Linked DNA regions of Daphnia pulex. The protein of the gene in region 1 interacts with the protein of each later gene in a biochemical or structural test. Links are inferred from orthologs where the notes say so. Each region holds a gene or a part of one and is shown on either strand. Other genes may lie near its edges.

The links.
Region 2: of the proteins of cyclin-dependent kinase 7-like (region 1) and transcription elongation factor SPT5-like, one has a biochemical effect on the other in vitro, tested with the Homo sapiens proteins (2 studies listed by BioGRID, with this or other methods). The link is inferred for Daphnia pulex from reciprocal best matches to the Homo sapiens genes CDK7 and SUPT5H.
Region 3: the proteins of cyclin-dependent kinase 7-like (region 1) and general transcription factor IIH subunit 3-like form a complex in vitro, tested with the Homo sapiens proteins (2 studies listed by BioGRID). The link is inferred for Daphnia pulex from reciprocal best matches to the Homo sapiens genes CDK7 and GTF2H3.

What each region holds. Positions count from the first base shown.
Region 1 is NC_060020.1:943,084-954,004, reverse strand, and holds cyclin-dependent kinase 7-like, read right to left. Parts: upstream 6,178-10,921; 5' UTR 6,104-6,177; coding exon 6,032-6,103; intron 5,972-6,031; coding exon 5,909-5,971; intron 5,838-5,908; coding exon 5,556-5,837; intron 5,475-5,555; coding exon 5,347-5,474; intron 5,283-5,346; coding exon 5,105-5,282; intron 5,034-5,104; coding exon 4,861-5,033; intron 4,807-4,860; coding exon 4,665-4,806; 3' UTR 4,629-4,664; downstream 1-4,628. Other genes in the region: ankyrin repeat and LEM domain-containing protein 1-like, read left to right, coding at 1-667, 744-949, 1,009-1,138, 1,205-1,365; glycosylated lysosomal membrane protein A-like, read right to left, coding at 1,725-2,162, 2,228-2,455, 2,519-2,719, 2,773-3,030, 3,132-3,248; NADH-quinone oxidoreductase subunit B 2-like, read left to right, coding at 3,683-3,833, 3,906-4,009, 4,087-4,296, 4,356-4,559; DET1 homolog, read left to right, coding at 6,404-7,552, 7,610-8,116; cAMP-regulated phosphoprotein 19-A-like, read right to left, coding at 8,480-8,677, 8,841-8,951, 9,156-9,230; nucleobindin-2-like, read right to left, coding at 9,770-10,237, 10,360-10,485, 10,678-10,834, 10,905-10,921. UniProt on the Homo sapiens protein: Serine/threonine kinase involved in cell cycle control and in RNA polymerase II-mediated RNA transcription. Cyclin-dependent kinases (CDKs) are activated by the binding to a cyclin and mediate the progression through the cell cycle.
Region 2 is NC_060017.1:4,112,669-4,123,829, reverse strand, and holds transcription elongation factor SPT5-like, read right to left. Parts: upstream 6,730-11,161; 5' UTR 6,541-6,729; coding exon 6,475-6,540; intron 6,419-6,474; coding exon 6,024-6,418; intron 5,953-6,023; coding exon 5,815-5,952; intron 5,754-5,814; coding exon 5,054-5,753; intron 4,973-5,053; coding exon 4,514-4,972; intron 4,453-4,513; coding exon 3,919-4,452; intron 3,848-3,918; coding exon 3,062-3,847; intron 2,984-3,061; coding exon 2,723-2,983; 3' UTR 2,526-2,722; downstream 1-2,525. Other genes in the region: zinc finger CCCH domain-containing protein 4-like, read right to left, coding at 1-136, 824-903; dnaJ homolog subfamily B member 9-like, read left to right, coding at 1,461-1,581, 1,746-1,895, 1,975-2,210, 2,284-2,436; sentrin-specific protease 6-like, read left to right, coding at 7,081-7,109, 7,183-7,408, 7,468-7,903, 7,994-8,673, 8,782-8,930, 9,003-9,131, 9,200-9,530, 9,620-9,756 and 2 more. UniProt on the Homo sapiens protein: Component of the DRB sensitivity-inducing factor complex (DSIF complex), which regulates mRNA processing and transcription elongation by RNA polymerase II.
Region 3 is NC_060021.1:11,067,878-11,078,098, forward strand, and holds general transcription factor IIH subunit 3-like, read right to left. Parts: upstream 4,937-10,221; 5' UTR 4,802-4,936; coding exon 4,786-4,801; intron 4,718-4,785; coding exon 4,522-4,717; intron 4,447-4,521; coding exon 4,119-4,446; intron 4,055-4,118; coding exon 3,796-4,054; intron 3,737-3,795; coding exon 3,630-3,736; 3' UTR 3,517-3,629; downstream 1-3,516. Other genes in the region: succinate dehydrogenase cytochrome b560 subunit, mitochondrial-like, read left to right, coding at 1,423-1,436, 1,529-1,588, 1,652-1,872, 1,940-2,184; oligoribonuclease, mitochondrial-like, read right to left, coding at 2,283-2,403, 2,463-2,683, 2,742-2,771, 2,835-2,966, 3,029-3,133; uncharacterized protein LOC124194693, read left to right, coding at 5,900-6,238, 6,320-6,748, 6,807-7,730, 7,823-8,063, 8,153-8,299, 8,360-8,529, 8,604-8,869, 8,958-9,081 and 5 more. UniProt on the Homo sapiens protein: Component of the general transcription and DNA repair factor IIH (TFIIH) core complex, which is involved in general and transcription-coupled nucleotide excision repair (NER) of damaged DNA and, when complexed to CAK, in RNA transcription by RNA polymerase II.

The DNA.
Region 1 (10,921 bases):
TGTATTTTTGTGAAGCATCGGGAAGTGGAGTTGGGAACATCACTTTGCAACAGCACTCTCAGCTGTAATGACCTTGGGTTTCTAGGGTCTGATTCTGTTTTGAGCACTACAGCTCTAGATAGTGATTCAGTTGTTGTTAGCTCATCCAACAACGCTCTTAATGTGGCCCTGTGCAATACTCTTGACGTAACCAGCAACGCATCAACCAGTTCGATCGTTATAGTAGAAGAACACATATATTCCGACACTGAAAAAGGAATCGAATTGGTCGAGTGGCACTATCCCCCCCTTGTGAATCAGGATTCTGTTACAGATGCAACCCTAAATGAAGCTCTGTGTACTTCTTCTGACGAAAGAAATTCTGTCAACTGGATTGGAGAATCAATGGACTCACAACTCTTGTTTGACCAATTAAAATCACTTGGTGGCTGTCCTGGACCCATAACACCAACAACCAAGCAAGTTTACCTCCGACAGTTTTTTCGGTTGCGCAGAGAACAGGCTGCGCATGTTCCTTCACCAAAGAGGCTTGGGTTATCCAAAGAACTTCAGACTATTTTGCTTAACTATCCGGGGCTAGAAAACGATACAAAAATAGCTACGCATTTAGACCGATTGTTGGTTACACATTTCACCTGTCCTGACCCGCTTAAACCATGGAGAGAGGGTAATATACCAAGATTGCTAACTTATTTTTAAAAATTTAATTTTGTAATATGTTTTTTTCTTTTTCGACACAATAGGTCTGGCGAAAAAATCTTTTAATTATCTTCTTCTAGACCCGAGAGTCACGCACAATCTGCCACTCAACGAAACCCAGGACCAACAGAAATTGTTCAAGCGCTTTGTATCCAGCATTTTTTACATAGGAAAGGGCAAACAAAATAGGCCGCACGAACATCTTTATGAGGCAATTAAACTTCGGTCTCGACCACAGTCGTTTCTTAAAGTATAAAGCTCGGTACAAATCTATTTAGAATATTGGATAACATGATTGCTCTAATTTAGGTAAGCAATAAAGTTAAGCGAATATTAGACATCTGGAACGATGGGTACGGCGTCATTTCAATTCACGTCTTTCAAAACTCTTTGCCAGTAGAAGCATTTTGTCGCGAAGCCGCAATGATAGAAGCGATAGGTAAAAGTTGATTGAATTAATTAAAGATATTTCTATGACGACATAATCCATTCTCTTCATCTTTAGGTCTTAGCACCATCACGAATATAAAGCGTGGAGACTACTATGGAATTTGTACGTCGTGGTCGAACTCGGACAAACGACGCTGGGGATGCCTTCTGCTTTACAAGTCATTCCACATTTTTCTCCACGAAGGAGAGAGACAAATCCGTCCAGTTGATTTATAGCAGCCTCTACGCAGTTCTGCAGTGCAATGTGGCTATCTCAGTACAATTTTGTTCAAGCTCGCGCAGCTGCAATATTCTTGGCAATATTATTATCTCTTTTATCAAACCGTATATTTCGAGGATTTAATTTGTGTTCTTCATTTCGAAGTTTTGATTATATATTCAGGCAACTTTAGTTTCTGTTGTACAGTTTCACTTTTTTATTTCGATATCGTATGTACACACAAAGGCAAATATTTCGCTCAAGACAGAAAAGATTATGAAATACGTCAGAATAACAGTGGAGAGAAACCGAGAAAGGAAGCGAATCATTTGTCTTAAGATAATCGAGTTTCACTTTGGTTAAAATCCAAATCAACTCAATCACTCAGCAACAAATCATCTTTGCTGTTTCTATGGTTTCGCAAGGCTATGGCTGCGCCACCTAGAATGAGAACGATTGCGGGCAACCCTAATCCGATTGCCATGACTAATATCACCATCAGCGAGAACTGATCGCCGACTGGTCTTCCGTGGCCAGTAACCAAGGTCCAAGCTGTGTAATTCGAAGCACGATAAAAACCGTCACCCTCAACGCCAAAAGACACATTGAAACCCTTCATCAATAAAAAGCGCGTATCCAAATCCAATGATAACCACTCCAGGAGCGTGTTGTCAAGAATATTATCGTCCGAAACATTTCTTATTTCAGTTTGGTAGAGGCCAGTGGAATCTCCGATATCACGTTGAGTTGAGGTGTAGCACACTGGTCGCCATTGAATCCAGTGTTGATTTAAGGCTGAATGAACTTCCATGAGCTACAAATAAACGCAAAATTTGATACTTCAACATTTAAAAAAATTCATATGAATTACTGGGTTACCTTAAAGACGCCAGGAGTGTATTCATCGTCTAAGCTTTGCGAAACGTTGAGAGTAAACCGACTATCAGGTTCGGATACAACAGCTGCCAATTCCATGGCCAACCGTGCGTTGGTAAAAGATTCTTTAGTTTCTACGTGATCGAAGACGAAGTCTACCTGAGTGGAATTCTCTGTGAAGGCTAAGTGAGGCAGTATGGGGCTTCGACCTCGAGTTCCATATGCTGTTAACTATTTTGTAAAAAATGTTATCATAAAATTTTGTAATGACAATTAAACTGAAGTTATAATTACAGTTATCTCAATGTTGGAAGAGAAATCCAGTGCTACTCCATCATAGCTGCTTAAGCGGAATGCCACAGAAGCAGAAACATTCCCTGAACAGTTGGATGATTTGAGTTCCCATGACATCTTCTTGGTACTGTATGAAACGATGTCAAAGTTGTCTGTTTCTGGAATCACACCAGTATCATTGAGATCATTATACATAAAAAACTGCAATAAGAGTTTAAGTAGTTGTAAGGGTGTAAATTTAAGTATTTGTATACTTTGAATATAAGAACTGCAGCAAAATATTGTGGTTCCTTGTTAAAGCTTATGGCTTGACTGTAGTTTCCTGACAACATCTTTTCCCAATCAATCAACATTTCAGTATTCAATTCTGTTCTGGCGTAAAAGAAAGTGGGAACATTTTCCATGGTCCAAATGTGATGGAGAACATCAGCAATTCCTTCTTGTTGAACATGAACAAGAGTGAAATTCACACATTCATTTGTGGGGCATTTTGGGTTTATTGTAGTGGTAACCTGTAAACAAAAAATGATTTATTGCTGTGTTAAGTAGCAATGTCACAAATAAACTAGGAAAGGAAGCTTGAAAAACAAGTGTAGGTAAACAAGATATTTACATTACGATCGTAATTTTTTTGTTCACCATCCAAGAACGTATAGTAGTCTGCAGATAAAACCAACACAAAAAGAGGTAATAGATTTAAAGCAGCAAACACCAGTACTAAATTAGTCATTTTTCTCAAGCCATCAATTCAATCCCTTGTTCATCTGTTAAAGTTCAGAACCAATTTGAAGGACTCGAATTATCACAAATCTCAAAGCCAGCAGACGCCCACTGAGTCATTTGATATAAATTCCTAGGGATAGGGAACTTCGTTACGCAATACGAAACTCCTCGGGGTCACTGTAAACATGCAAATCATGATAAATAATAAATTTACATAAACATAAATTTCAAATAAATAATATTATAAATTAATTGAAATTAAATTAAATTAATTTTTAATTAAATTTGACAACGTTGTCCTTCTTTTTCTCTGATTCTTTACTCATAGAAATTTGTCTGCTAGTGCCCAGAACTGTAGAGCGTAGCCGTAAAATATTTACTGGCGACTCTTGGAAATCAAGTTTTTTACTTTGTTGATCGATTAATTTACAGTTTAAGAATATGCTTGCCCTACGTGGAACATTGAATGGCGCCCTAGTGAAGTCCTTAGGGATTAACAGCAGTGTCTCAGTACCGTCGAGTTTGTCCATGACTTCTATCGTACTGAAACGGAATCAGAGCACCGTTCCCCAATCTGGAACTGAAGGAAATGGTAATTTTCCTTCCATTTTAGGCATTTGAGATCACTTCTTACTACCAACATCTTATCTTTGAATATTCTTAGCTGCCCTGGATAAAAAGAGACCATACTCTCCATTTCAAAACACCAACAATATGGCAGAGTATGCAGTTGCCCGGCTTGATGATCTTCTCAATTGGGGAAGAAAGGTAAAAATTAAAGATTATGTGAAGTTAATCATTAAGGATTAGCTGGAAAAATTTTAATATTCAACTTTCGCTCTCAGGGATCTTTATGGCCTCTGACCTTTGGGCTTGCCTGCTGTGCTGTAGAAATGATGCACATTGCAGCTCCGCGATATGACATGGATCGGTATGGTGTGGTATTTCGTGCTTCTCCGCGTCAGGCTGATGTCATAATTGTAGCTGGTACACTTACCAACAAAATGGCTCCTGCTTTACGTAAAGTTTACGATCAGATGCCCGAACCTCGTTGGGTAACCGGAACACTTTCTCACAGATATTAGGCATCATGAATTTATTTATTTATCTCCAGGTAATTTCTATGGGAAGCTGCGCTAATGGTGGTGGCTACTACCATTATTCGTATTCTGTTGTGCGTGGTTGCGACAGGATTATCCCAGTTGACATCTACGTCCCTGGCTGCCCTCCTACTGCCGAAGCGCTGATGTACGGCATCCTTCAGTTACAGAAAAAAGTAAAACGGATGAAGACTATTCAGATGTGGTACAGAAAATAAGCAAATGTGTCATAAGCTTCTGAAATTGTAAAGTTGTATCAACAAGAGTGGTGGAAATAAACCTAGAGGTTATATTAGAAACACATGTATTGGTTCAACCACTTATTAGAAAACTAAACGTTTCGCTAATGAACCTCCCTCCCCGTTGTCCGTCACTTTACGTTTTGTTCCGCTTTTGTCGACTGCTGCTTGACTTAGAGATGCAGGTAGAGGTAGAGATGATCCTGGAGCTGGAGCTGGTTTATTGCTGTTAAGGAAGAAACTTAGAATTTTATATCTAAAAATTAATCAAAATACATACCTGAAATACGGCATTTGCAAAGCTTCGCTACAAGTACACCTGTCTAAAGGATGCAATGCCAAAAAACGACTCAAAAGCTGCAGCAAATCATCTCCGGCGGCGGTGAAAATATGCCGCATTGGAATCACGGGGAAAGCCTTAAACTGAACAAAATCTGGTAGCGAAAGCAGTCCCTAATCAAGGAAATATGACTAGAGTTTAAAGGTGGGAGACGGTTGAGTTCAAAATTGTTTTATGTACTTACTGGCCAATTCTCTTCGTTTGGAGTGCCCAAAGTTGTAAAAATACGTGTAAGTTGATCTAAGTCAGATTCTCCAGGTAAAAAGGGGAGTCGAAGCAAAAGTTCAGCCATTATGCAACCTACTGCCCATACATCAACACCGGTACCGTACATTCGAGCACCAAACAACAGTTCTGGACACCTAGTTTCAGGTGTGATCAATTTTAATTTCAGCTGAATATTTATGTTGCATTTCTTCAAATTACCTATACCACCTCGTCACAACCTGGTGAGTGTAGATACGAGTGGGTGATGCAAACGATTTTGCCAAACCAAAATCACCAAGTTTCAGTATTCCTTGACGATCAACAAGAAGATTGTTAGGTTTCAGATCCTAAAATGGTAGTTGAAAAAAAAAGAATGTGCATACTTCTGTCATAATGTACAGGGGAAAAATATATATTATTATTATTACTCTGTGAAGAATAAATAGAAGATGGAGATATTCAAGTCCTTGAAGTGTCATAAGAATGTAAGCTTTAATGTGTGCTGGAGTGAGAATGATGGTTGTGTCCTTGATTATTTGCTCCAAATCAGTATCCATAAAGTCAAACACCAGAGATACATTAGAACGGTGACCAAAGACATCAAGTAAACCAATTATATGGTCATGCTTGAGTTCTTGGAGTAACTTGATTTCTCTCAAAGCTGTTCGATTGATTCCATCTCTAGCCTCTTCTCGTGAACCCAGTTTAATCTTGAACAGAAATAGTGTTAGTATTTTATAAACGAACCGGAAACGCTGAAATGAAAACACATTTTTTAAACCTTTTTAACGGCAACTATTTTGTTATCGTTTAGAGTATCTTTCGCCTTGTAGACTGTCGCAAACTAAATTACAAAATAAAACAGTTGAACATACACAAAAGACAGTGCCAATCAAAACCTTACCTGTCCTTCTCCCAAAAATTCAATCTTTTCATATCGCTGAAGTCTAGGTTCTCTTTCTCCACTCACGTGCATTTTTCATTCATACACTCAAAGTTTCTTTCAACTTTTAATCACCCGTCAAGAACGATTATTTTAAAATGGAATTTCACTCGTCAACAGGTGGCGTGAAAAACTATTGTTTATCTTTCTATTACCACCGCTAGATCGATCTGTTCTACAAAATGTTTCGGATTTTGACATCTCAAACCTGCTTCAGTTCTATTTCACATGTGCTTTATCACTAAAAATCTGAAACTTCTAAAATTCACGGCGAATAAAATGGGAATTGCAGATACGTAGTAAAAATGCCGAGTAATAAAAAAGGTTCTGAAAATGATGAACCCCAAATATAGACAGGCTGACCATGGTGAGTTCGAGTTGACTCCTAGAAAAATTCCCTCGCAGAATGTTGTAATTCGACTGATTCGTCGAGAGACTCATGTCAAACCCGGAAACTATCACATTTGCCGATCATTTTATCAAAGTGTTGTCCCAAATTTTACAATTGTCAACATAGAAAAGCCACCATGCTATTTGAGAAAATTTACACCCAACGGCAAGTACTTTATTGCATTCTCTTCAGATCAAACTTCAGTGGAAGTTTACAAATATCTTGGACCAAGTGCAGTAGAAGATTTACTTACAGATGTTCCAGGAACGAGAGAGTTTGTTGGAAATGATACCAATGAAGCTGTAAATTTAAGAAGTAAAGTATTTTCTAAATTCTTCCAGTTAAAGCATACTATTGCTGTAACTCCTGTTGGTGAACAACTAAATCGCGAATGCAGTCTCTTTGTCGGTGACGGAAGATTTGTTATTGTCGGTTCAGCCTCGTACGTTCCCGAAGAGCCCCAGCCAAATTTTTTTGATATTTTCCGTAATAATGAATCCGTATCTCCTCATCCTCGTTCTCCACTAGAAGATTGCTCACTTCACATCGTTGACATCGTCAATGGAAGGCTCTGTGATACTAGAACAATGAAGACCGACAAAATCTTTCTCTCACACAACCAAGGACTTTACTTGTATGAAGACACTCTAGCAGTTCTCTCTGTCCAGCATCAAACGATACACATTTTTAAAATTTCACACGATGGCTATTTTGCTGATGTAAAAACTATAGGTCGATTTTGTTTCGACGATGACGAATGGTTAATCAATCAAGTACGGGGACTTTGGCCTTCGGGTCAGTTGGTTCGTCCGTTTCGAGAGGCAACTGTCAACGCGCTCAAGCATCGTTTACTAGTGTTTCTCTACCGACGAGCAATCAACATGGCTGAAGCCGAAGGGAATCTCTTTCACGTACGAAAGTTCTATCAGAACTTTGATCACATTCGCGCACTCCGAATCTGGAAAATGCAGTTGTTGGATGAGTCACATTTGCTTCTGAAATATGCTAGTGAAGATGTGGTTACACTACGAGCTCCAGACCCAAATACGCAACCGGCCTTCTTTGTCGTTTACAATATGGAAAACGCACAGGTATCTTGATTATAATTAAAAGAAAAAAACTTAATCCCACGTATTATTGTTTTACAGGTTATTAACGTCTATGAAAACACAAGTCAGGAACTACTGAACTTGTTCGAGAACTTTTGCGATTTACTACGCAACGCAACACAAGGATCACCGTCCAGCAACGTATTTGCAAACGTCATTCATCAACGATTCAAGCAGACCATTGTCAGCGCTCGCTTTGGTGGGCAGACGGAAGCCACAAAACGACTTCTTTCACAACTTCCCATTTCAGCACAATCCTATTCCTCTTCGCCTTACCTTGATTTGCAGCTGTTTTCCTATGACGATAAATGGGTTTCGCTCATGGAGCGTCCAAAGACTAGTGGAGAGCACCCCATTCGTTTCTACGTCCGTGAATCTGGACTGCTGCGGTTTCGCATTTATGCTGGTATTCTTGGCCGGCCAGCTCCGCCTTCTTCTGCCCGTCGCCTTGTTGCTTTCACGTTTCATCCAACAGATCCATTTGCCATAAGTGTTCAGAGAACCAATTCCGAATATGTAGTCAATTTTCACGTTCGTCACATTTAAATTCATGATTTAAAAATACAAATCATTTGTGCTGTATTGAAGTGGTGCCACTGTATGTATTTCATTTTTTTAACGGGGGAAAGGAGTCTAACTAGCGTCTTCTGATTTACGGAACTCCTGGTTATTTCTCATCATTTCAAGCGGAAAAAAAATGAAGAGAGGCGGTAAAATAGTAAAGAGCGCGGCCAAAGATTGAGAAAAAAATGTTTTAAAAAAGATTTAAGGGAAAAAAAAAAAAAAAAACTGATGCAGACACCGAAACGTAACACGATCATGAAGATATTACACCAAATTGTATACAAACTGCCCGATACCAAATTCATGCCCGCGAACGGTTAAGACTTTCAGGTGATGTTGCTCTTTTTACATAGCAGGACTTGCCAACTTGCTCTGAATGATGGATGTTTTCCTGGTAGGAACAGATTCCGGAGTTGGAATGGCATCCCCAGTTGGGTGTCCAAGATTGGCAGGTGGGATTACTGCTGTTGTTGCTGCAGTTGGTATTTTAGCTGGTCCTTTTTGTTTTGCCATTTGGTAATCTCCAGAGTCAAAGTACTTTTGCTACAATAAAATTATAAGTGAAATAGAATTAGTTGGTAAAACATTTCAGTTGGCAGATTGCATTCAAACTTTCTCATATTATTGCACAATGGAAAGTAACACAAAACACAGCCAAAAGCAATAACAAAATTAGTTGTTTTAGATAAAAAAAAAGTTTGCTTACGCCTTTGGCAAGTCTCTTTTGCAAGAATGCTGAGTGTCCAGTTACAGGGCGGGCATTGTAACGAGCTTTCAACTTCTCTTCTTCCAATTTCTCAATATCCCTTTGAGAAGCCTATTATGAAATATATCAAAAGATAAATTGAACATACTGATTTCAACAAAATCACAATATGACCAAACAATTTAAAAAAACCAAAAAAGAGAGCATGTAAAGTAAACATACGTGCAGCATAGACATGTTTACACGAGCAAAACGACATGCACGAGTTACTAATAGATCAATTATGTAAAACCAAAATCTATGATTTGCAATTACCATGGTTTCGGTTTCTTCGTTGGATTGAGTGACTTGATTTTCCTTGGGAATGGTCGAACTTTCTTCGCTAGCCATGTTGACTTGTGCAGTTGCTCCGAAAACGGTTTTATGCTGCGGACTCTTTCTCCAGTCCCCCTCGACTTTCTCAAAAGAGTAAAATGAATGCAGAATGCGACGTTGCAATACCATTAAGGCAATATAGGTACGAACGTACTGGACGACATGTAATGGGTTGGGGTTGGGAGGGAATGGATGGAAATTGAACTAGGCTACTTTATTCCTGCCTTATTTATTCCAAACCTTTTTTTTTATTATTTTGATATTTTCTAAGTCTATTTCCTAAATTTTATTAGTTGTTTGCTATCAACTGCGCCTTGAGATTCCATTCATTATTGCCATGCTTTATGACCACCAATATTCAAACAAATGATATATAACAAATGAATTATTTCAGCTCACTGTAGAATTTTTATTTATTTATTTATTCTTTTATTATAGAAACTTTGTTTAAAAAATGGTTGAAATTTGTTTTAATAATTGTATTTTCGTCGATTCGTAAAATATTATAAGACAAGCAATTTGTTTGATAATTGAAATGCAATTAATTTATGTCATCAAACAGTTTTTGCAGCTGGTATTTGCTGTTGGGCAGGCGGGGGTGCAACCGGTTGCGATTGAATTGGGGCCTGCTGTTGGACTGGAACCTGCTGTTGGACTGGAACCTGCGGTTGGACAAGAGGTTGTTGCTGAGCAGGGATTTGCTGTTGCTGAACCGGCTGCTGAGCGATTGGCTGTTGTTGTGGTACTTGTTGAATCGGTTGTTGTTGCTGAGATGCTTGTTGGAAATTCTGTTGTTGTTGCTGAGCCGGTTGCTGGAAATTCTGCTGTCCAGGCTGAGCGAATTGAGGCTGTTGCGGCTGAGCAGCATATTGTGGGTTAGCAGCATACTGTTGTTGTGGGTGACCAGCATATTGCTGTTGCTGAGCGAACTGTGGTTGTCCATAATATTGTTGCTGCGGAGCAAACTGAGGTTGTTGTGCATACTGCTGTTGTTGCATTCTAATCGCCTCTTCAGGAGTTATCTAGAATATTTACATTTTGATTGACTTTAATTTTTCATTTTTATCACACCCTTAATACTGAATCCATAAAACTAATGCAATGCATTAACAATGAAAGACGAAAAACAAACAATTTAACCTACCGGTTTCCCCTGAGCAACAGGAGAAGGATAGTAAGGTTGCTGACCAGCATACTGACCAGGTGCTACACCATAAGGCACGTTGGGCATTCTGGGATGGTTTGGCATCATACCAGGATGTGGAGGTAGCTAATACGGACAAGGGATATGGAATAGACATACATAAGACATGCTCTACGTATGAAGTACGACAAGCTACAAGGCAAAAATTGGCATGATACGCAAAGGGATATTCTAAATTAATTACGCAGTCTAGCCAACAAGAAAAGCTTACATGCATCCGCCGGGTAGCATTGAATAAAATATTTATGTAGTACATACCATTCCTTGGTCAATCAGTCGTTGGATTTCCATTTGCCGTTGATGTTCAAATTCCATGTATTCTTGCTGGCTGTACACTGGCTGCTCGTCAATCGTGTTCCAACCAGGATCACGCTCAAATTCCTGTTTTCGAGTCTGCTCTAAAAACTCGGGAAATCTGAAAAATATTACAACGATCGAAATATAATTAAGTGTAACGGATTTTTTTTTCATGTAAAACAAATTACGAAATTAGGTAGTCTCG
Region 2 (11,161 bases), on another chromosome or scaffold:
TTCCTTGGCCACATCGCCTTTATTCGCCGTAGATTTAACCTCCGTTTTGTCTTCTTTCTTTTTATCTTCTTGGGGGACTTCTTCATCGTCAGAAGCGATTTCGCCTTCCTCTAAATCTGCATCATCTACGTTATCCCTAACAAGAAGATGAACTAAAATTAAATTTCATTCTGGGCCTGGTACACATCATTCCATATTGTAGCATAAAGACCATCATTTTATCTCTTTCCTTTCCATTAGAGCTTCACATTACTTTAGAGAAATAACCAACTGTTGTTAAAATTTAGGAAAAAGAGATAACGGGATGTCATTATCATTCCACAGACGCAAGTCGAGGGAATATTTTTAAGTGTAAGGAGTGATAGTGAAAAGAAGGGCATGCATAATGGATCACGTGACCATCGCGTGATACGTGAAAACCAGCCGAAATTGAGAATTTCATTCTGAAACGGAGTTAAACATAAAATTCTTTCGATTATTTTCCTGTCAAATTACTTAGTAGAACATGCTCTTAAATGTAAAGCATTTTCATTCATTGCTTGAGTTGAAAAATAAAATAATAAAAAAAAGATGGACTGGCAACGACGGAGATGATAAAGAACAAACTTAACAAGAGTCCTAACTATCCAAACTAACGGAGTTTCGATAACCAGCAATTAAGAAACTGATCAACCAAGTGAAATCAAGAAAATTAATTCCATAATTCGAGGAGAAAATCTTGTTTCTTTTCGACAATCCATCGAGGCCTTGTTCTAAGAATCGGATGTTTGGAAAGCAAGTGGAAGGGCAGAGAAGGGAGGGTAGGATAGGAATATACTCAAACCTTTCATCATCTTGAGCTTGATCAGAATCGACGCCTTTGCCGAATTGGAGGTCATTGGCAAACACACCATGCAGAGCCATGACTTGGTGACAGCGCACATCAAAATGGCGCTGGCACAAAGAGCAAGCAAGTCTAGCCAGAGACTAGTCGATTGAGCAAGCCCTGGGGTTTCTCTCGAGAGCACTGGGGAGTTGTGATGATGCTTTCCGCGTGGTTCGACACACGCTCCTGTTAAGTTCCGTTTTCCTTCGTCTTTTCTTCAACAACAGAAAAGTTAGCGTTGGAAGATGAATTCAATTTTTGTCCATTTTAGTCGAGAAGAACGCAATTGGCTTCAGATTTCAGGACGATGCATTTCATCGCCTACCGTCGTCTGGTAGTCGTCGCAGATTGAGAATTCCTTGTCTTGATGCGTCGGAAAAGAAGCTTGAGGGAGACATCTATCGCCCGTTCATCAACACATGCATTTCCAAAACGCACCCTTGCGTTTAATACAAAATTAATAACAAAATATCTAAGTTATTTTAATCGTGTTGTTAAATAATTATTCCTGAAATTCAGCTATTCAAAATTTTATAATATACCTAACCTAGAGAAGTGTAATAGTTAATCGGCTAATGTGCCCAAGGATAAGGTGATGTTGCGCAATAAAGGGGAGGAGCATCTTCAATCTTCTAGACGAATGAACACATTCCAACTCATAAATAAAAAAACATTTAAAAAATACGTAGTCAATTTCGACTATAAGAACTTTCGAGGTACGCAAAATAATCCACGTTATCATTTTCGCAGTGATATCTCCATTTTTCCTTGTTGAGTTCCTTGTTTTCTTGTTCCTTTTGTTGAGTGATCATGAGAAAACTCATTTGCATAACTTCGTTTGTTATTCTTCTTGTACATATTTCCAAACATTCAATCGAAGCTATCGGTGGCAGCAATTACTACGATATTCTAGGAGTTGATAGCAAGGCAACAGAAAGGGAAATCAAGAAAGCTTTTCGCAAACTTGCCCTGAAATATCACCCTGACAAAAATCCAGCATTTGAAGAAAAGTTTAGAGATATTGCTGAAGGTAACATTTGTTTTGCATTTTTTGGCCTCAAAATTAACAAACTAAGATTTCATTTCTGTTGTTGCTATGTATTTTACAGCTTATGAAATACTCTCCAACCCCAAGAAAAGGAAACAATATGATGATTTTGGTGCAGAGGGCACAAGAAACAATGGGAATCAACATTCAAAGTTTGCTTACAACTTCAATTTCGATGATTTTATGATGCAGTTTGATCAGCATTTTGGAGACTTCCATCACAAGTTTCATTCTCCAACCAACAAAAAGCATCAAAAGAAAGCAGACTCAATGTTCAATTTTGGCAACATTTTTAATGCAAGTTTTATTAAACTAAGCAAAATATTTTTATTCTAACTTACCAAATGTTTCTTTTTTAAAATTTATATAGGATGATGATGATATGTTTGGTGGAATGGATATGCAATTTGATAATATGGATTCCATGTTTGGTTTCACAGATGATTTACATCAGGGGACAGGATGTAAAACAGTTACTCAAAAGATCGGAAATGTTGTTACTACCTATACGCAATGCTCATAAATTTTGTTATAAATAAATTACGTTGTTATCCGTTTTTTTTAATTTTCGAGTTTAAAAATCAATGTGAATGTATGGGAAACTGCTTATTATCCGTATTCGAAAACTTCATGTATTCATCCGTACTATTTCAAGCAGTTACATGAAAACGATTGGCATTTCATTCTGAAGTTCCCTCGTCAATATAACTCATCAAAGCTACAGTGAATTTCTAGCCCAAATGAAAGTGAAGAATTTTGTTTGTTTGTTCCAAGTAAAGTCGGGGCCCGCAAATACGCAACTGGTCATTTTATCGTGCCGTCATCTTGCAAAGGTACCGCAGCTGGAACATTCGAACGTCGCCAGATTCTAGTTTAACAACGCCTTCTTGGTGGTCGATAGAAAGCAACTGGCCACAGCTTTCTCTTTCTTCTCCCAAAATGATTTTGACTCGATCTCGCCGACTTGGCACGATGGGCTCTAACAACTCCCCAGCAACTGTTACAACTCGATCCTCGGCCGGTAAGAAAAGAGAGCACATACCACCAGATATGCCACGGATGATACCACTCTAAAATTACACATTAAAAAATATTAATTTATTAAGTGAAAAAGAAAATGAATTAATATGAAGTATCAATAATATTACCTGTCCCGAGAGTCCCGCATCACTATGCGAATCCTTGAAACGTACTTCTATGTCGGTGGTATACCAGTCCTGAGAAGACAACGAATCCATTCCGGCCCCTGGTGTCTGAGGATTGAGAGGTGACGGAGCTACACCCGGAGTCATAGGGCTATAACTCATGGGAGATGGCGATGTATAACTTGAAGCCATTCCAGGTGATGGATGGAATGGCAACCCAGTACTTGGGCTAGGAGTCGGAGCATAACCGGATGGACTCGGTGAGGCTTGATAAGGTGCCGGACTCGGACTGGGCTGGTAGGGTGAATAAGTGTGATCTGAACCGTAGGATGTTCCTGGTGTGTGAGGGGTGTAGGGTCCTTGTGGAGTGTCAACATGGTAGGCTGACCCAGGAGTCGCCGGGTTATAGGCTGGCGAAGGAGACTGATCATCCCAATTGTCCAAATCTCCATAGTCGGTCGATCGAGCAGGTGTATTGGTAACGGTTGGATCCCAAGCTCCGGATTGTCCAGGTGTACGGGATCCATCATGAGAAGGTGTCATACCACCATAGTGAGGAGTACGTGAACCATCGTACAGTGGAGTTTGTGATCCATACATCGGAGTACGAGATCCAGAAGCATACATGGGTGTATCACGGCCTTCAGCCTGTGAAGCAGGAGTTTGGCTGTACGTAGAAACAGCGCCAGATTTGGAGGGTCCTCCAACAACGGCAATTCGAGTTCGGTCAACGGATACTGTTTGACATTTAGAATGTAATTCGACGCGGGCTGTTGAATCTGTTGCGTCCTGAAAGGATGAAAAAAGAAGATGCTTTATTCTTTTCCTAGAGGGGAAAAAACACGTTTTCAAAAATTTACCTTGACAATTCCGATGTGACCTTTGTATGGACCTTGTGTAACTTTAATGGTCTTTCCAATCAAATCTCGATCTCGCCCAATTCTTCCACCTCGTCCAAATCCACCACCCCCACCTCCACGACCACCTCCTCCTCCACGTCCACCGCCTCTTCCACCTCCTCCCCCTCCCCCGCCTCCTCCTCCGCTCGGGTGCATGGGTGAAGAAATTCTGGGTGACATGTAGCCCAAACTCGATACTGCTGGTGAACCTGAAGCAGCACCTTTACTACCGCCGGCCAATACAAGATGGCGAGTTTTACAAACGAATATGCCACCATTCTCAAGCATCATTCGGGAGTGAAGGAACGCGAAGTTGCGATAAAGATGACGGATTTCTCCTTGACGACCAGAATGAGGTCCATCGATCACTTTAACAATATCCTTTCGTTGTATGGTGTTTTGCTCGGAATCCAACGCTACGGCTTGGCGATTCTCTTTACGACGTTGTAGAGCTTGCGGTCGGACTGCTACAACTTTTCCGTGCATATTTAGAACCTAATGAAATAAAAAAACAAGAGTTAGATCTCTGAAAGTGTGAGAATCGTTCAAGACATACTTGGAAATTTTCCCGCTCCAATCGAACGATAACACCAACAGACTGGGCGTCAAGTTGAACCAGATCACCCCACTGGTACTGGCCCATGGAGTCGACTCCTGTTGCCATGTCAGAGCACAACTGTAGGTCTCTGGGCAAAACTTTAAGTTCATGCATTGTAAGATCTGAAAAGAGTACAACCATGTTGTCCTCAACACGAACAATGAGTCCTGTATCGTTTTCGTAGCGGCCGGCAATGACGCGAACATGGTCACCCATCGAGAAATACTTTTTCAACTCGTGAGCCTGAAACTCCAAGGGGTCCTTGAGATCTTCGTGTCTCGGCATGACCGTGATTTTATTGCCATCAATGGCCACAATTTTTCCACGGAGATGAATAAGTTCACCTTCACAAACTTCGACAGCGTCTCCTGTAGCAAAATTATGGGTTGCTTCTTCTTTACCCGATACAATTCGAACCTAGATAAGAATTATATTATGAGTTAACGACAGAAAAGGACCTAAATATTAAAAATAAAAAACAATTGGAATAACACTTACGGCCATGTCAACCCCTTCTACAGCCTCTTCAAAACGCTCGAGTTCAATCAATGTAGGTTTAACACCATCGGCAAGGATCGCGGTCATAGAAAAATTTTTGTAAAGAAAACCTTTACGGGAGTATCGGTTCCCCTCAAAAATAAGGAAATCGCCATCACTTGTAACTTCTCCGCCGACTGCTCTGATAGCTTCCAGATCAAACAGTTTTAACGGTGGACGAATTTTGCGTTTTTTCTTTGCTTCTGCATCAGATTGAGCAGTTCGTAGAGCTCCACGTGGCCTGCTATAGTCAATTCGTGGGATCAATTTTAGATGAACCTGATTTTGAGCTACATCCACATAATCAACTTGGGCAATATCATCCTTGAATATGCCTCGCTTCAGACGAACCCATGATTTGGGCTTCATTACACTCTGTTCTTTTACAACTCGTAGAACATCGGTCATTTCCTTGATTGGGACCATCTGCTGGGCATAGAGACCCATGCGAAGGCTACCGATACCGTCAATCGCCTGCTTAACGTGGGTTTGTTTGAAAGCTTCAACATAGATATATCCCTTGACGCCTTCAGGAGACACAATTGATTTGATTTGCAATGGTTCTTCTGTGAATTGGTAAGCAATGAATTTTCTCATCAGTTGAAATACTGTTTGCTTCTCTTCTCCCAATCTGCACTTGACCATCCACAGATTTGGATCTCTGAAATAAGAATTGTAAGTTAACTCTTTCCTTAAAAAAAAAAAAATATTAAATACAGTACTTGACTCCAGGTAGCAAAGTTTGCTGGGTAATTTCATCAGTCATATCTTCACCACCATCTCCAAAGTGTCTAGTAACAGTAGCTTCATCTGCATATTTCTTTCGAAAATATTCCTCTACTTCCTCTTCTTTTGAACTACTGTAGAGAGAAAATGTATTGTTAATACTTTGGATAAAATGTGTTAAAGCTTGTGTTTATCTACAACTTACTCCCACATTTGCTGTTGTCTGCGTCTCCCATCAATTTCTCTCGCTGTGGGCCCCATTTCGTCAACTTCGTTTCCTACCAGACCATAGTTCTCAGCTCCATCTTCCCATTCTTCTTCATCTTCAACCTCATCATCGACTTCTGCTTCCTCCAGAATAAAACCACCAAATCTATCACTCTTCTTTCGCTTTCTTCTTCCTCCATTAACTTCTTCTTCATCTTCATCTTCTTCTTCCTCTTCAACTTCTTCGTCATCTTCTTCTTCTTCTGAATCACTGCCTCTATGGCGTTTACTTTTTTTTGCACCTTTATCCCTTTTCTTTTTCTTTTTGGATTTGTCTTTTTTCAGAGATTTCTTGTTTACTGCTTTGTGACTACGGCCACCAGAGTCATTATCCTTCAAAATTTAAAGGTTAGATTTCGTCAAGTAAAATGGAAATGTGTAAACCATACCGAACTTTCAGCATCACTGAGGGCTTCCTTCCTATCGGAAAAATTACTATCTTCGCTGTCCGACATGTTTTAATTGCTTGCTGAATACTTTTTTGAAGAAGAAAAACAACGATTGCACCTTAAACCAAACAATGCTACAACGTTTCAATGAGATAGAAAACAGGTAAATTGTTCTTTCTTTCCAACTATGTTGTTCCTAAATTGAATTCATCTGCGTCACTCACCAGAGGAAATTTTGCAATGCATGGATAAACAAGTTTGGGAGTCTTTACACGCCATCTATCCTTTGATTCGAAAGTATTTCGCAAATGTTTTCATTAAATGTAAAATAGGCCTATGGCTTTTCAAAGTTATCCATTTTAAAATTCAATAAATTTAAGGAAATTAATTATCTTATGTAGTTTTATATCATTCATTTCTGAAATAATTATTCAATTCAAATATATTGTTTGGGGTACCATAGCGCCACTTGCCACTAAGTATTTTGTCGTTACTTGGCCTACCTGGTTTAGTTTAGTTGAAACGGGAGAGCACATGAGACGACAGTCAATACTGCTGGTACTGCACAGATCTAACGAAGTCATATATCATAGCCTTCATAGGTAAATGTACTTTTCGGATAGCACATGTGACAGGTAAATCAGGATGAAATCATACTGACGTAGAACTGTTGATATTCAGTCCAGATGGTTGAGATTTTATAATTAGTATGGGGGAATCGAGTTCCAAGTCCGAACTTAGTGTCAATTCAAACCAGCGGTCAGTTTCGGTACCGGAGATTAAGGCTGTTTTAGTTTCTGAAAACATTCAACCGAAACTACTGAAACATAACTCAAATAGTAAGGGCATCAAGAAGATAACACTTCAAGAATACAGAAAACAGGTTGGTCACAAAGTGATCAATCAAAAATCCACTCAGAAACTTGGGATCACAGTAAGTTTTTGTTTCTTTTTTTACATTTTCTATTACAAGTAAACTGTGTTTTTGTACAGGGTAAACAAGAGACAAATTCAGAAGAGAAATGCAGTGGGCAATCACCAGATCCAGATAGTGCTAATTGCCCCCACTGTGGACATTTGGTTTCCACTAATAAATGTATGAGGTGCATGCGCGTCTTTGAAAAAGAAAAAACGGTACCTCTCACTTCAAATCTTAAGTCATTACCTGGAAACAAATCATCCGGAATCTCTCAGATGTCAAATGATTCATCATATGGCTACCGACGCACTCGGACTCAAAATGCTCAACCTTCAAGACAGAGTAGAGCCAAATTTGAGGAGCCACAGTGTGTAACACTGAGTAGCGATGAAGATGATGACTCCTTTCAGGAAACCAAAAAACTCAAATGTGATGGTACCGACAAATCAACTGAAAAATTGGATGTTAAACCTTCAATTGTGATTCAAGAACAGCCAAATATTAAAGAATGTTAGTTAAACACATTTATTTCCTCTGCTGGTTTTTCTTATTAATTTATCTTACTTTTTGTTTCTTTTAAATTCTTTGTTTTTCTTCTAGGTGAACCTTTAAATGGTGTCTCAATGGATTTGCCTATTGATGCAGAAGAGGAAATTGGATCTAGTGATTTGCTCCGTTGGAAAGAAGGTGGATTGAATGGACCTTTCTTTGCCGTAAACTGCCGATCTGTTCGTATTGGATCATATAAGATTACTCCAGTGGGACGTGTGTTATTCTCATCCGAAGGAATTATGCTGCAAGCTCCAGTTTTTCACAACCACGATGGGCCATCAGAAAAAAATGCTGTTTGCGTCAATGTAGCTATCCCAAGTCAGCAACTATTAAAAGTGGACGCTTTTTTCAGCCGAAAGCTTCAAGTCATCTTCCTAAATGTTGGTCCAAGCTGGTGTCGCCAGCTTTCAACAAAATTAGGGTTACCCAAAAGTGGCCCATATTGGGATTCTGCTAGCGAAGACGAAAATAAAAAACGATTGACACTGCTGCCCGATGGGTTGGACGATGCAGCGAAGAACGCAATCAAACAAGTCTTCGTTCCTCAAGGTGTTTACAACGAAATTAATCAGGCCGAGGCCAACCGGCTCTTGGTTATTTCCTCACCCCCAGAAGTTCGTGATGCGCTTAAACGTCTCCCCGCGACCACTGCTGTATCAGCAGAAACGAGTGTTTCGACAACTGAAACGCAACTGAATGGTGGCAAAGACGACACTAGCAAAGTTGAAGTAAGTAGTCGTAATGCTAATACCAATAACTACGCTATTGGTTAAGTGTGTACTTCGTATAGTTGAAAGCCGAATTTGTGCCTAAAATCAGTCTTCATTCTCTTCTAGATACGAATAACCAGGGGATCCAGTAAATCTCTCGCAAGAACTGTTTTGCCAGTGACTCCAATGTTTTCCTGGTCGGATGGACCCGACCGCTTCTCAGTAACCACTGAAGATTATGCTTGTTTAAATCAGGACAATCTACTAAATGACAGGTAAATTTGGCATTGCACCGTTGTCTTTTTCTGTAATTACCTTTAACTATTTGCTTTGTTTTTCTTTTGCAGTATCATCGACTTTTATCTTCGATACGTTTTCAGTACTAAAATTGATGAAAGTCTGAAGAAGAAATGCCACGTATTTTCATCGTTTTTCTACCAAAGGTTAACGACTCGCCCACCCAAAGTCAATGGACGGTACAAGCTCTTAATCTATTACAACAACCATTTTGAAGTGTAATTACTCTAGAGATGAATTTACGCAGGAAACATCCAATTGAAGATGACGATTCCCTTTCGATAAAGGAGAAACGTCATTCGAGAGTTAAATCGTGGACAAAGAAAGTGGACATTTTTGAAAAGGATTATCTCGTGATACCCATCAACGAGCGTAACCATTGGTTTCTAGCCATTGTCTGTTTTCCTTGGTTATCAGGACCGGTGACCGCCATAGACAATCAACCCATCAAACTTCGCCCCCAACAAACATACTCCAAGAAAACAACCGCCGACTTACAGAGGTCATTTGTGGCCGTGAACGGTGAATCGTTTCACATAGGAAATACCACAGTTACGCCTGTTAACTCAAATTCAAAGGTATTGATGTCTGCCTTTATTAGTTTAAACGAGTCGACATGATAAACGAACCAATTTGTTCTGTTTGCTTGTTCTTATCCGTTCTTTAGTCGACCAAAGATGACCAGATTACGTTGAATGTTGACACAGAAAGAGACGAAGCTGAGAGCGACGAAGAAGAATTATCATGTGCAATCGACCGCACTCCAGTAGAAAAATTGCCAGAGATTGCTGGTCCTATCAAACAGTAATTCAAATTCATTTTTGTCTTTTAATAATGCTTTACAGTTTGCCTTTAGTGTAGTGTTTTTCATGCGACATTCTTATGTTTTATTCTTGTATTCTAGGCCTTGCATCTTATTTTTTGATTCATTGGCGGGAAGCGCACACAATCGAGTTGCTACGACTCTTCGCGAGTATTTAATGGTGGAACACCAAGTAAAGAAAATGAAGCCAAATGAGAAATCAATTGTTGCTTTCAGAAGGGACGCCGTTAAACCGTCAACCAACCCCTTTACTAAAGACTCGATGATATCGGCATGCCTTGATGTGCCTCAACAAAATAACTCGTACGATTGCGGGATATTTGTGCTTCAATACGCAGAATACTTTATGATGGTAAGTTAAAAATTTTTTATTTAATTTTTTTATTTTGCTGAATTAATGTTTTTATTTCATCAATTCAGAGTCCATTTCTGGATTATAATTTACGGAATATAAAACTAAGCAATTGGTTTCCACCTCATATTGCCGGAAGGAAAAGAAAAAACATCCAGTTCTTATTGATACGGCTCACCAAGGAAACGAATCCTTCAGCAGACCAAGTTCTGACATTGTTACCTCGAGATGACGTCAGAATTGCACTTCAAGACCGTAATAAGACTGCGGCCGCTACAAATAAAGAAAATGGTGAAATTCATAGTGAAAATAAGACGGAGGCGATGGAGGAAGACGGCAAATCTGAGGTGTGTCTCGATAAAGAAAAGGTTGAAAAGGGAGCCAGCCCATCAAATATCGTGTATGACCAAGAGGCGAATAATGAAATGGAGAAATAGATTTTTTTTTTCTTTTTTGTTATCGGTTTGTCGTTCTCCTAAACTAAAAAAAAAATGTTTCGACTGCGAGAAAAAACTGGTTACCAACGTGAAAGGTTTCAAAGTTTGTTCAAAAACGTGACGTCAAACACATCGTCAGAATCAGAATATCAAAGTCGTGCTCTAGCTATCGTTCATCAGCCATGAAATTAATTGCCACCGGACATAAAAGGTAGCGAAGAGAATGTTAGGCTCGGTAGTTTTCAGAATCGGTATTGATACTCTTGGCTATTCTACGGAAATCTTTTGTTTGTTTTCCCTTGGTATCCATTCCATTCCGCATGTGATCTTTCAGCCGTCACCGTTATATTCCGAATGAAAAGATCGATAATCGCTTTATGAAAACTGCACACGTTGGTAATAGAACTGGGCCTATAAGATGGCATATATATTCCACCTTTTCCTTGGTATGTCACAGGCACGTGAGCTCATTGATGTCTAATTGGATGTAGGTACAACCGGAAGGCCTTTGTTGAGAACATGAAAGGAAAGGCTCGAATAAGACGATCTGCTTGTACGAATGTCGATGACATGTCGGCGGCTAACGAAAGTGGCTTA
Region 3 (10,221 bases), on another chromosome or scaffold:
TACTATTGGGCAATGTCACTCATATTCGGATTTATGGTATATATTTTTTAAAGGACTTTGCCTTGTTTATTGTAAACGTGGACGTTTTTCGGATGTTGTCTATTCAAACCAAGAATAAAATATTCCGTTGCGTCATTCTGCATTGCAATACAGATTGAGATTTGACAAATCTGTGTAAACCAAAATATTATATTCGAGCAAATAGAGTTTACTACGACCCAATAGTGTCGACGTGGTTTTACTTATTCTGGTGTGAATTGATTTGCCGCTGTCTGAATGTTTTGTGAGGGATCTGGGGAATTCGAAACTTTTTCGACTGACACGTCTGAGTATTGCTATTGCCATTATCCTGAGTTATAACTGAGGGTGGGAATACCCTATCTTACACCCTACCTTAGTTAACCTCTAGGTAATTTGTTGGGTATTCAGATATGTTTAATCTGCACTAGGTCCAGCGCTATTTTACTTAATGTGACATGCGGTATGAAACTTATTGTACTTGATTGTGGAATCATTAAAATTGGTTTCCTTACTTTCCTAATTATATGTTGAATTTGGACTGCCTTTTGATCTAAATTAAGCAAACAAATTGAAGAAATATTTTGATTGTAGAAAGCAATTTTGAGTTTTAGATATTGTTGTTTCATCACCTATTTGAATAAATAGAATATTGCTATGAGCGTATATATAGAACGACGCAATCGCAATGAAAAAACTTAAAAACCTGAATTAATCTTCAGATTCCTACTTATCCGATTTATTTTATTTGTTAGGATGCCCGGTCAGAAGACCAGGCTTTCGAAAAATTAGTCATATAGACTCATCAATTGCTCCCAACCACGGAAATCTTTAGTAAAAGGCGAAAGATTTATCCGGGTGTTGATTGGAAACCAGAGTACTTTTCAGAGGAAAACTTCCAAAATATATACCGTTGCCCATCTCAAGGGAGACTAGCGAAATTTGTTCTATTTTGAGCATTCAAAACAACAATCCGTTTCAAAATACTTTTTTTTACATATAAATTTCTGTTAGAATGAAAACCGCTACACAAAGTTCACTTACCAGTTTTGAAATATTTCTCTTTAACTAATGTTAGCTGAGTAAAAAGTTAAATTTTAGGATAAAAACTATGCTTTAGCATTGGGAAGGCAGTAGGAAACGCCCCAAGCATTCTAAAGGTTGGGCATGGGTTGGAAAAGGGAGAGGGACGTACACGTACGACGCGTACGACCAATTTTCTTATTATCCACTTATTATTTACAGAATTTGAAAAGGATATGAAAATTGTTGTTTTTTTCAAGTTTTTCTTATGTTAGAATAAAAAATTTGAAAACTGTTAAGTAATTGAAACTATTGCCATAAATTTGATCCGTCAACCTCGCGAACGAAATCAGTATTCGCTACTGCTGTGCAATAACAAATATGGCGCTTTTACGGTAGAAATAAAATATAAAACAATTTTTTAAAACTTTCCTAATATCTAGAACCAGTTTTTTTCTAAATATGTTTTTAATTTTGTTTTTATTAGTACCATCTTAAAAAATACTACCCAAACCCGGCTACTCACAGCAGCTCCGGTCAAATCATGGTAGATGTTTTGGTGAAGGATGATTTAACATATTTTAACGTTTCCCCTTATTAATTGCTGCAGGCAACACACTGTGTCAGCCTCTACGTTCGGAATTAAAAGCGTCGAAGCTAATCGTGCTAAACCCCTTTCAAATGAAAATTTTGAAGATAAGAATAAGAGGTTGCAACGGCCAATTTCTCCCCATCTATCTATTTACCAATTCCAGTCTAATATGGCTTTGTCCATTACACATCGTTTTACTGGTCTTGCACAAAATGGACTGATGTATGGTCTAGCTATTGGTAATTTCATCAATCAATCTTTACATCAATAAATATGTTTTAATATGCTTTATTTGTAATCTGATAGGTGCCATGGTATTGCCTGCATCATTTCCACATTATTTGGGAATGTTGGAAGCTGCACACCTTCCACTTATTGTATTGGCTGGGAAGTTTCTCATTGCTTTTCCATTTTCCTATCACCTGATTAATGGAATGAGACACCTTGTGTGGGATACTGGTTTCAACCTCACAATTAAGGGAATTCAAAGCACAGGGTATGTTGTCCTTGCAGCTGCTGTTTCATTAGCATTATATTTGACATCCCTTTGAACACAGTACATGCAATCCAATAACTGCATTGTATTTACAGTTTGATTTGTGGGTGGGTGTGAATAAAGGTAGTAGACTGTTACATAAATAATGTGTTTTCATTTGAAAATATTTGCTTTGTAGAAGCTCAGTTCCATCAGACTTTCTTTTATGTCATCCATGGCTCTATGAGTTAAGGATTTTGGGGGAGCATTTTTCAAAACATCTGGATACCACCTCCTAATTCCAGATGTATTTTGCTAATGATTTAAAAAAAAAAGTTTAAATTAATTTATTACCTTCCCAATTCCTTGATGGTTGAAACATCTATTATCCGGTAGTGCAGATGGTTTATGAGTTTGGGCATGTACTTGTACAGAAATCTTTTATCTTCACCAATGGAATTCCCAGCCAGCGGGCATTCTCCGGGGTTAGTATAACGACCAATAAAATCAACAAGCTTTTCTTGAGCTTCTTCAACACTGATATTACTATTTCTACATGCTTCTGTTAACCCAGACTGAAAGAAAGTAAGTGTTATGATTTGGATAAACAGTATTGAATGAATTATTTGAAACCTCTCCATGTGTTTTTTTACACCACTCTCCCTATATTATAAGATAGAATATATAATATAATATATAAGAATAATATAATATAATAGATATAACCATTCCATCTAAGATGCTATCAGGTTGATTAATGATGATGTTAGGACCTTCAGCAACAATGTTCAAGTCTTGATCAGTGATAAGACAAGCAGCTTCAAGAATGTGGTCCTTGGTGTCGTCCAACCCCGTCATCTATAAAGAAAATTAGCTTATAAAAAACTAATTTTTGACTTGTTCCTTGGAAACCAATTCACCTCTAGATCCATCCATACGATTCTGTTTCTAGCGGCTAACGCTGCGTTGGTCATTGTGCGAGCGTATATGTAACGTGAAACCAATCTCAAATTATTTGTAAACATCCGGAAATTAACGGTACGTAATCTAAATTATTATTCTTTTGAAAACTCTTATATAGTTAACCTTGCCTTGTCTCTTTTCAAGATACCTAGCAGACGAAAAGCTATTCAAAATTTGGTGAAGTAAAGCTACATTTTCATTTTGTTAAAAATTTTCATTTTTTTTTTAAATTGTTAATTTTTTCTAAAAAAATCGAAATTTTAAATCAGAGATAACCTAACAATCGAACTAACCTAACAATATCTCTGCCACTAAGAAAAGTATAGTTATAACAATCAGTCTTTTTAGTCTTAATTTTTTTTCTTTCTTCATAAAGAGTAGAGACTAGAGAGTATAGAGTAGAGACCAGTAGAGACTAAAGAGAAACCCAAGAAACATTGAATGGTCATGTACAAAACAATTTCTTTTTGTATGCCACGGAAATTTACAGCAAAGTGCTAAATTGAGCTTCAGTCAGAGCTTTTTGGGCAATAATTAATTTTTCACTGTATCTTCCATTTATTCCATTCGAGGACGCTTCTTCGGTTTGGAGGGTACGATTGCAGGTCTATTAAGTTTGAATTCTGTGTTACATGTGGTACAAAGAATGCTGAATTTGCAGAAAACTAGAAACAAGCAATAAGTTACTGAAAGTGAAGAGTAATGATAAAAACCATTAACTTACTTGAAAGACAAACAGAGCAGACCCATCCAATATCAACTAGTTTGTGGTGGCAGAAGCAAGCTGCTCTGTAATCAACTTTTGTAGGAGGTGGCAAGACAATTTTGGATCTACAAGATGGACCTGGAAGGAAAACCCACAGCAAATACTCCAGTAATCCAACAACAGTAGGAATTCGTAAGTATTGCCCTCCAGTTATGTCACAGCCTTGTTGTAGTAATCCAGAATCAGTATCCATCATGCAACAGTCAATCACAACATTCTGTAAAAGAGAAACATTCTTACTATTTTCTTAAAAAATATTGATTTTAAAGTAAGCATATTACCTCTTTCTGAGCTGTGAAGAACACATTCATAAAGGTCATGTACTGCAAAGCACTGTCAGAACTGCCACTAACAACAAGTATGCGTGGTTTTAACTGATGACTCAAACTAAGTTCCCTTTGAACTTTATGAATGTGGCACAGAGCACGAGCCATAGCTCCCCCTAATAATGAGTCTGATGTAGTAGAATCATGGTCAATTGAATCTTTCAAGATTAGCTCTGAAAGGCCATGACGAATATCGGAATCAACTTTTGCAAACATGTCATACTGCCCAGGTCGGTTATGGTAGGATTTAGAATTCCCATTTTCGGAAGGGTACAAAAACTTTCTATTAAAAAAATATATAAGATGGTCATTGTCTTATGAATAAGTCTTGTAAGATAAAATTTTTTAAATCACTTACGTAGACTTGCTGTTGCAGGCAATGACTGCCAGTTTGTTGTGAGAGCCTTGCATCAAGTGGGCATTTCCAAATCCAATCAAGGCATCAAAAATTCTATTCATCATTGTAGATCCATTATCAATTATTGCTTGACTTGCGAATTTTTTGGCAGGAGTAGCATCAATCACAATCGCCACTAACGGAGTTTCAATGCGCTCTGCAATCACAATTTAGATATTTTAGCCACCACAATTTTTTTATAACAAATGAAATTCTACGGTTCACCTTCTTTATCTTCCATTTTGCATGAGATTCTATTCTATCTAATCTTTAAAAAAAAGTGGAATTAACAACTGGAAGGAAGAGAACACTACTCGATGTAAACAACAAGTTTTAATGAAGCCTCTTCTCAGTGTTTCGGTTACAAAATTAGGCCCGGCCGGCCTGGCCGCCTGGCGGGCTTGGCGGCTGGCGCATCGCCGGCATCGCGCGTTCAGGCCACATCGCCCGCATTTATAGGTAGTTGGAAGTTGGATACCTGTTGGATGTAAAATTACATTTTGGACATGTGTAGACCTAGTGACGCAATTATTTTCATTTATGAAGACTATACCAGAAAAATGCGCGATATAGAAATATCATGAGTCTTTCATAAAGCTATAGTGGATAAAGAAAAAAGGAAACGACAATTCAAATATCCCACACCTTTATTTGAAAATGAGGAAATAGCACAACATAGTACGTAAGTGAGTTCTCCCCTCATTCTCTCCCCCCTTTCCGCTTCCTCTTTATTTATTTGCTATATTTGTCTGGCTACGGCGCGCGAGCCTAGGCAAGGTTATCTTTCATTTATCTTTCTCTCTTTGTTACTTGTATGCATGCTCTCTGATCGCCCTCTACTGGATTAAAAACCCTTCCTCTTATATTACACAAAATCTCGTCAGTAGCGGGCGGGAAGAGCTTGCCATCAGGGCGAACTACTTAGGTCGTGTCAAACTCAGTCTCTGTATTGTGACTTGTGTGTGTCTATGTGTTAAAAAGGCTCCAGTCTCATTTCTACCTGTTGCCTCTGACAAGAATTGGCCTCCCGTACGTCGTATTGACCGACGTGACGTAAGTTTTATTTTGTTGTTGGACTGGAATGTCATTATCATCATGTGTAGGAGACACGCCGATTTAGTAATCGTACGCTCTATCGGATGAGAAATCACACATAAAAAGCTTTCGTCTCGTTATTGGTCGTAACATTGTAATGGTTGAGAGAATGAGAACAAAAATTAGGAAGTGGAATCTGCCGACCACGTGTAATAAAATTCTTGTCTAGCCCTTATTTTCTTATTTCCAGGTGATCGGGAAGGGATATTACTGTGCCCATGTACACAGGGATCCTAAGGTCGCTATGGCAACCAACGACTATTGTGAGCCAGATAACGAGAGCAGCTGCAGCAGCGGCAACGGCAGTGCGCAATCGCCGAGCTGCAGTTCCACGAAGAGAGCTACGTCGGCTGACCAGTTGTCGTTGATCACCAACAAACACACTAAAGCTCTAGCGTTGAAGAGCTTGTTTGTGGAAAAAGTTCGTGGCGTCAAAGAATTTGGACAGCGTTTGAATAAACTCGGCCGTCATCTGTCTACCTCGGATCAATCGGAGCTCGCTGCAGGTCCCCGTCTCCTTTCCATTTCGTCAATCGATCCCGACTCCGAACTGCCTCGCCTTGTTCGAACCAACGCCTTCAAAGTGAGTTGTTACCCTAGTTACTATACTGTAAATAACACACGTCAAGAGCAAACGTCATGTTTCAATTTTGGTTTAAATTAGGCCAAACAACGAAACTCACTTACTCAATCGACTTTATCTCCAATCACTCCTCATTGCAGCAGTCCGAACCCCTCTCATCGATCTCCAGACGGACAGCAGCTAGAATCTGACTCGGATCGTTCTAATACATCGTTTAGAACTACGTACAGTTTTGACGCATTTAGTGCGGCTCGAGTGGAGGCCAACAGCCAATCTAGCTATCCGGAACCAGTGCTGCAAGACGCGGCACTATCTGATCAACAACAAGCGTTTCCAGTTAATATTGATTTATTAGATAAACAAAGGAACGACGAAAATAATGGATACGGAGATGATCGTAATCCGGAAGGCACCATCGAAGCCCTTAACGTTGGCTTGTCAAACGATTTGCCCTTGTTGCTAATAAACGATCAACCTCTGACGCTCGACGATCAGTCCCGCTACGCTAAGGTAGAATTCATAAATTTTTTAAAATAATGTGACATTATTTTCTATATTGTGGACGCAGCAGGAAGATTGGAATGGAAACTTGGTTGATGACTTGAGCGACTTGGGCGACTTTGAAAGTTGCAGCTCGTCGATTCCCGAAGATAAATCGGCTAACTCTGAATTAGAGAATTCTCCGTTTTTCCGAAATCGCAGCAGCTCCGACTCCGCAGCAATGGGCAACAAAAGTAGTTCTAGTCAAAAATCCAAGGGGCGGCTTATTTCGAATCCGCGGGTTGGAACCGAAAATGGTGGAACCGAAACCGAAAAAGGACCAAACCCACCTTTCCAAAATGAGGTTCCAAACAACAGTGGTTCGTCGTCTACACTGTCGGATGACAGGACAAGAGATCAACAAGAACAGAATTTTTCACCTCAACGATTGTCCAAAGTTATAGTTATAGGGAAGTCGTTAACATCAGAAACTCTCTATGCTGATGTGGACGAGCCTGAAGAAGATCCGTCCAGTTACCAAGACATCGCTCATCACCACACCTGGACGTGTGATGAAAATCTGCTGATCGTTTCCGAGACATCGGATAGCATTAATGTACCTGATCTTCCATTGGACAGCAATACCGAAACTTGCAGTTTAAGAGAAGTCTCAGAATTTGAAAATGCTGGAACTGTTTCATTGTCAAGTGGTTTTGAACAACCGACAAGTGATAATATTGAATTGGATGCTGATACTTCATCATATGCAACAGAACTGTGTTCAAGGTCAAATGAAATAGAACAGTTACAAATCAAGGACAATTTCCAGCAGTTTGACAAGAAGTTTTTTGCCAAGCATGAGAAGAGTTCCTGCGCCCAAGTAACTCCACATCAACATCTTGCTAGAGGACAGCTAAATTATCTCTCCCTCGAAGTCCCCAGTCTGTTATTCTACTACGCTGCAGCAGCAAAATATCATATTTTCAAAATATATGCTGAGAAAAACAAGTCAGTAAGTTTGATTTTGTGGTCATTTGTTAAAACTTGTAGATTGTATGTTTAATGAAGGGCTGACAAATTTTTCCTTGTTATTTTCTAATACAGGCAAGCACTACAAAGATTGAAATTGACATGCCAGATATGATGCACCTTGGAGGACATGGAGGCTCCTCATCGGGGCATAACAATAATGGAGCTAATAGATCTTCTAATGTGCCCAACAATGGACAACCATTTACTCTTACAAGGCATAAGAAAGTGGAAATTCCAGCCACAGCAATTCTTAGTCACACTCAAAATGCCACTAGACGCGAGCCTAGTGATCTCGGAATTCCGTATCCTTCCAGTAATTATTTTTTACTTTAAATGATGTGTACTATCTAACCATTTCATAATAATATTTCTTTTTTTTTCCTCTTTCTCCATAAACTTTAGCTTCTGGAGAAAAAGAATCTAATGTGTTACGAAAGGTGGCAAGCCTTACGTATGACTTGGCCATGGAACAAAAGCAACAACTTAACTCACCAAAAATGCGTTCTTCACTTGAACGACATGATCTCAATTCCTTAGAAAATTTTGAAGGTATAAACTTATTCAATTTGATGTTAAACATTTATATCACCGGATTTGATTATAACACAGGGCAAATGCTTGTTTCAAATTTACTCTCTTCTATTGATGAGGATCATTACTTGAGGCTCCTTATTAGCAAGCCCGATCTGAGGCTTTTGATGAGTCATTTTGTTAATTATTTATTGAATATTGGCATTGTTTGCCCTTTGGAAGATGGGCAAATGTGCGACAAATTTATGGTTAGTCGGCCTAATTGTGCAATTTCAGACCTCCTGAATGTTTTGTATCGGAATAACTTGCATTTTTTTCTCAGATGGATCGAATGTATAGATGGGGTAGACCTGACATGAATAGTAAAGGAACTCCTCGATGTAAAGGAGAGTATTTATCCATACAAGAACATTTGGCAGCGTTCCAACAGGCACGACAAGACCATGATGCGGAACTTCTGCGAATTCAAGCTGAATTCCGTCATAAAATCAAAGAAATGGAGGAAACGATTGCCAGTTTAACTAAAGAAGTCACTGTTCTTAAAAACCGGCCAACTCTTGAACCTCCACCTTACGTCCCACCTCCAAGGTTGCAACGAAAAACAAGAATTAATCATGTCAAAATTTGATGCATCATGATTTATTGTTTTTTTTATTAAATTGTCAAATTGTTACAGTTATTCATCGACTGCTCCACCTCCACCGCCCCCTCCACCCCCATTCTCGTCTTCGGATCATTTCCGGTCCGGGGTTACCCCCGCTCCACCTCCGCCTCCGTTTCCGACATCGTTAGGGGGACAGGTACGTTCATGATAGCATTTTTTTACCGCATTGAGATTATTTTTCGCTATTATTAATCGATTCGATAGCCGCCGCCGCCGCCGCCGCCTCCTCCGCCTCCGATGATGGGAGGACCACCACCCCCACCTCCTCCACCCCCAATGATGGGTGGACCACCTCCTCCACCTCCTCCTCCAATGATGGGTGGACCACCTCCACCACCCCCTCCTCCAATGATGGGGGGTCCACCTCCTCCTCCTCCAATGATGGGTGGACCACCACCTCCTCCTCCAATGATGGGTGGACCACCACCCCCTCCGCCTATGGGTGGACCACCACCCCCTCCGCCTATGGGAGGACCACCTCCTCCTCCTGGTAATTAATATAATAAAATAAATTTGATAAATTAAAAAATAATATAAAGCATTTAATAATTATTGAATATTTTTTCCCGAGAAAAAAAAAATAATATTTTTCCTTAATTTATTTTCAAACGGTCCCGGAGGTCTTGCTTCTCCTCCGTCGCTTCCAGCTCCACCTCAAGGAGGTTGGAATTTCAACAAACCCGTTGCCCGAAAGGTAAGTCGTTATAAAACTCTTTGCCGAAAAGAATATTTAGAAACATATGATTTCTTTAGAACCCAGTTGATCCCAAGCTACCGATGAAACCTTTATATTGGACAAGGATTTTAATACCATACCAGCCCCCGATGACTGTCACACCAAACACAGTTGACAGCAAGTAGGTTTTGTTGATCCAAAACGTTTCAAAAACCAATCAAGCATACTTTATTACTTGTCTAGCTCGACATTGTGGGATAAGTTGGAAGAGATCGCTCCCGAAAGTTGGGATGACTTTTCTGACCTATTTTCGCGACAGGTTGTTGTCGCGAAACCAGTGAAACCAAAAGCAGAGAGTAAACCGGTGAAACAACAAACTGTCAAAAGTGAGTAAAGAATCAGTTAAATTCTGTTGTGTTGGTATTAATATTTATGTTTACTCCATTTCAGTTTTGGACAATAAGCGGTCTCAAATGGTTGGTATTTTAATATCGAGTCGCCACTTGGATGTCCAAGAAGTGGAAAGTGCCGTTTACAACTTAGACACCTCTGTGATTGACCTCGAGACTCTTCAAAAGATTTTCGAATTACGAGCCACGG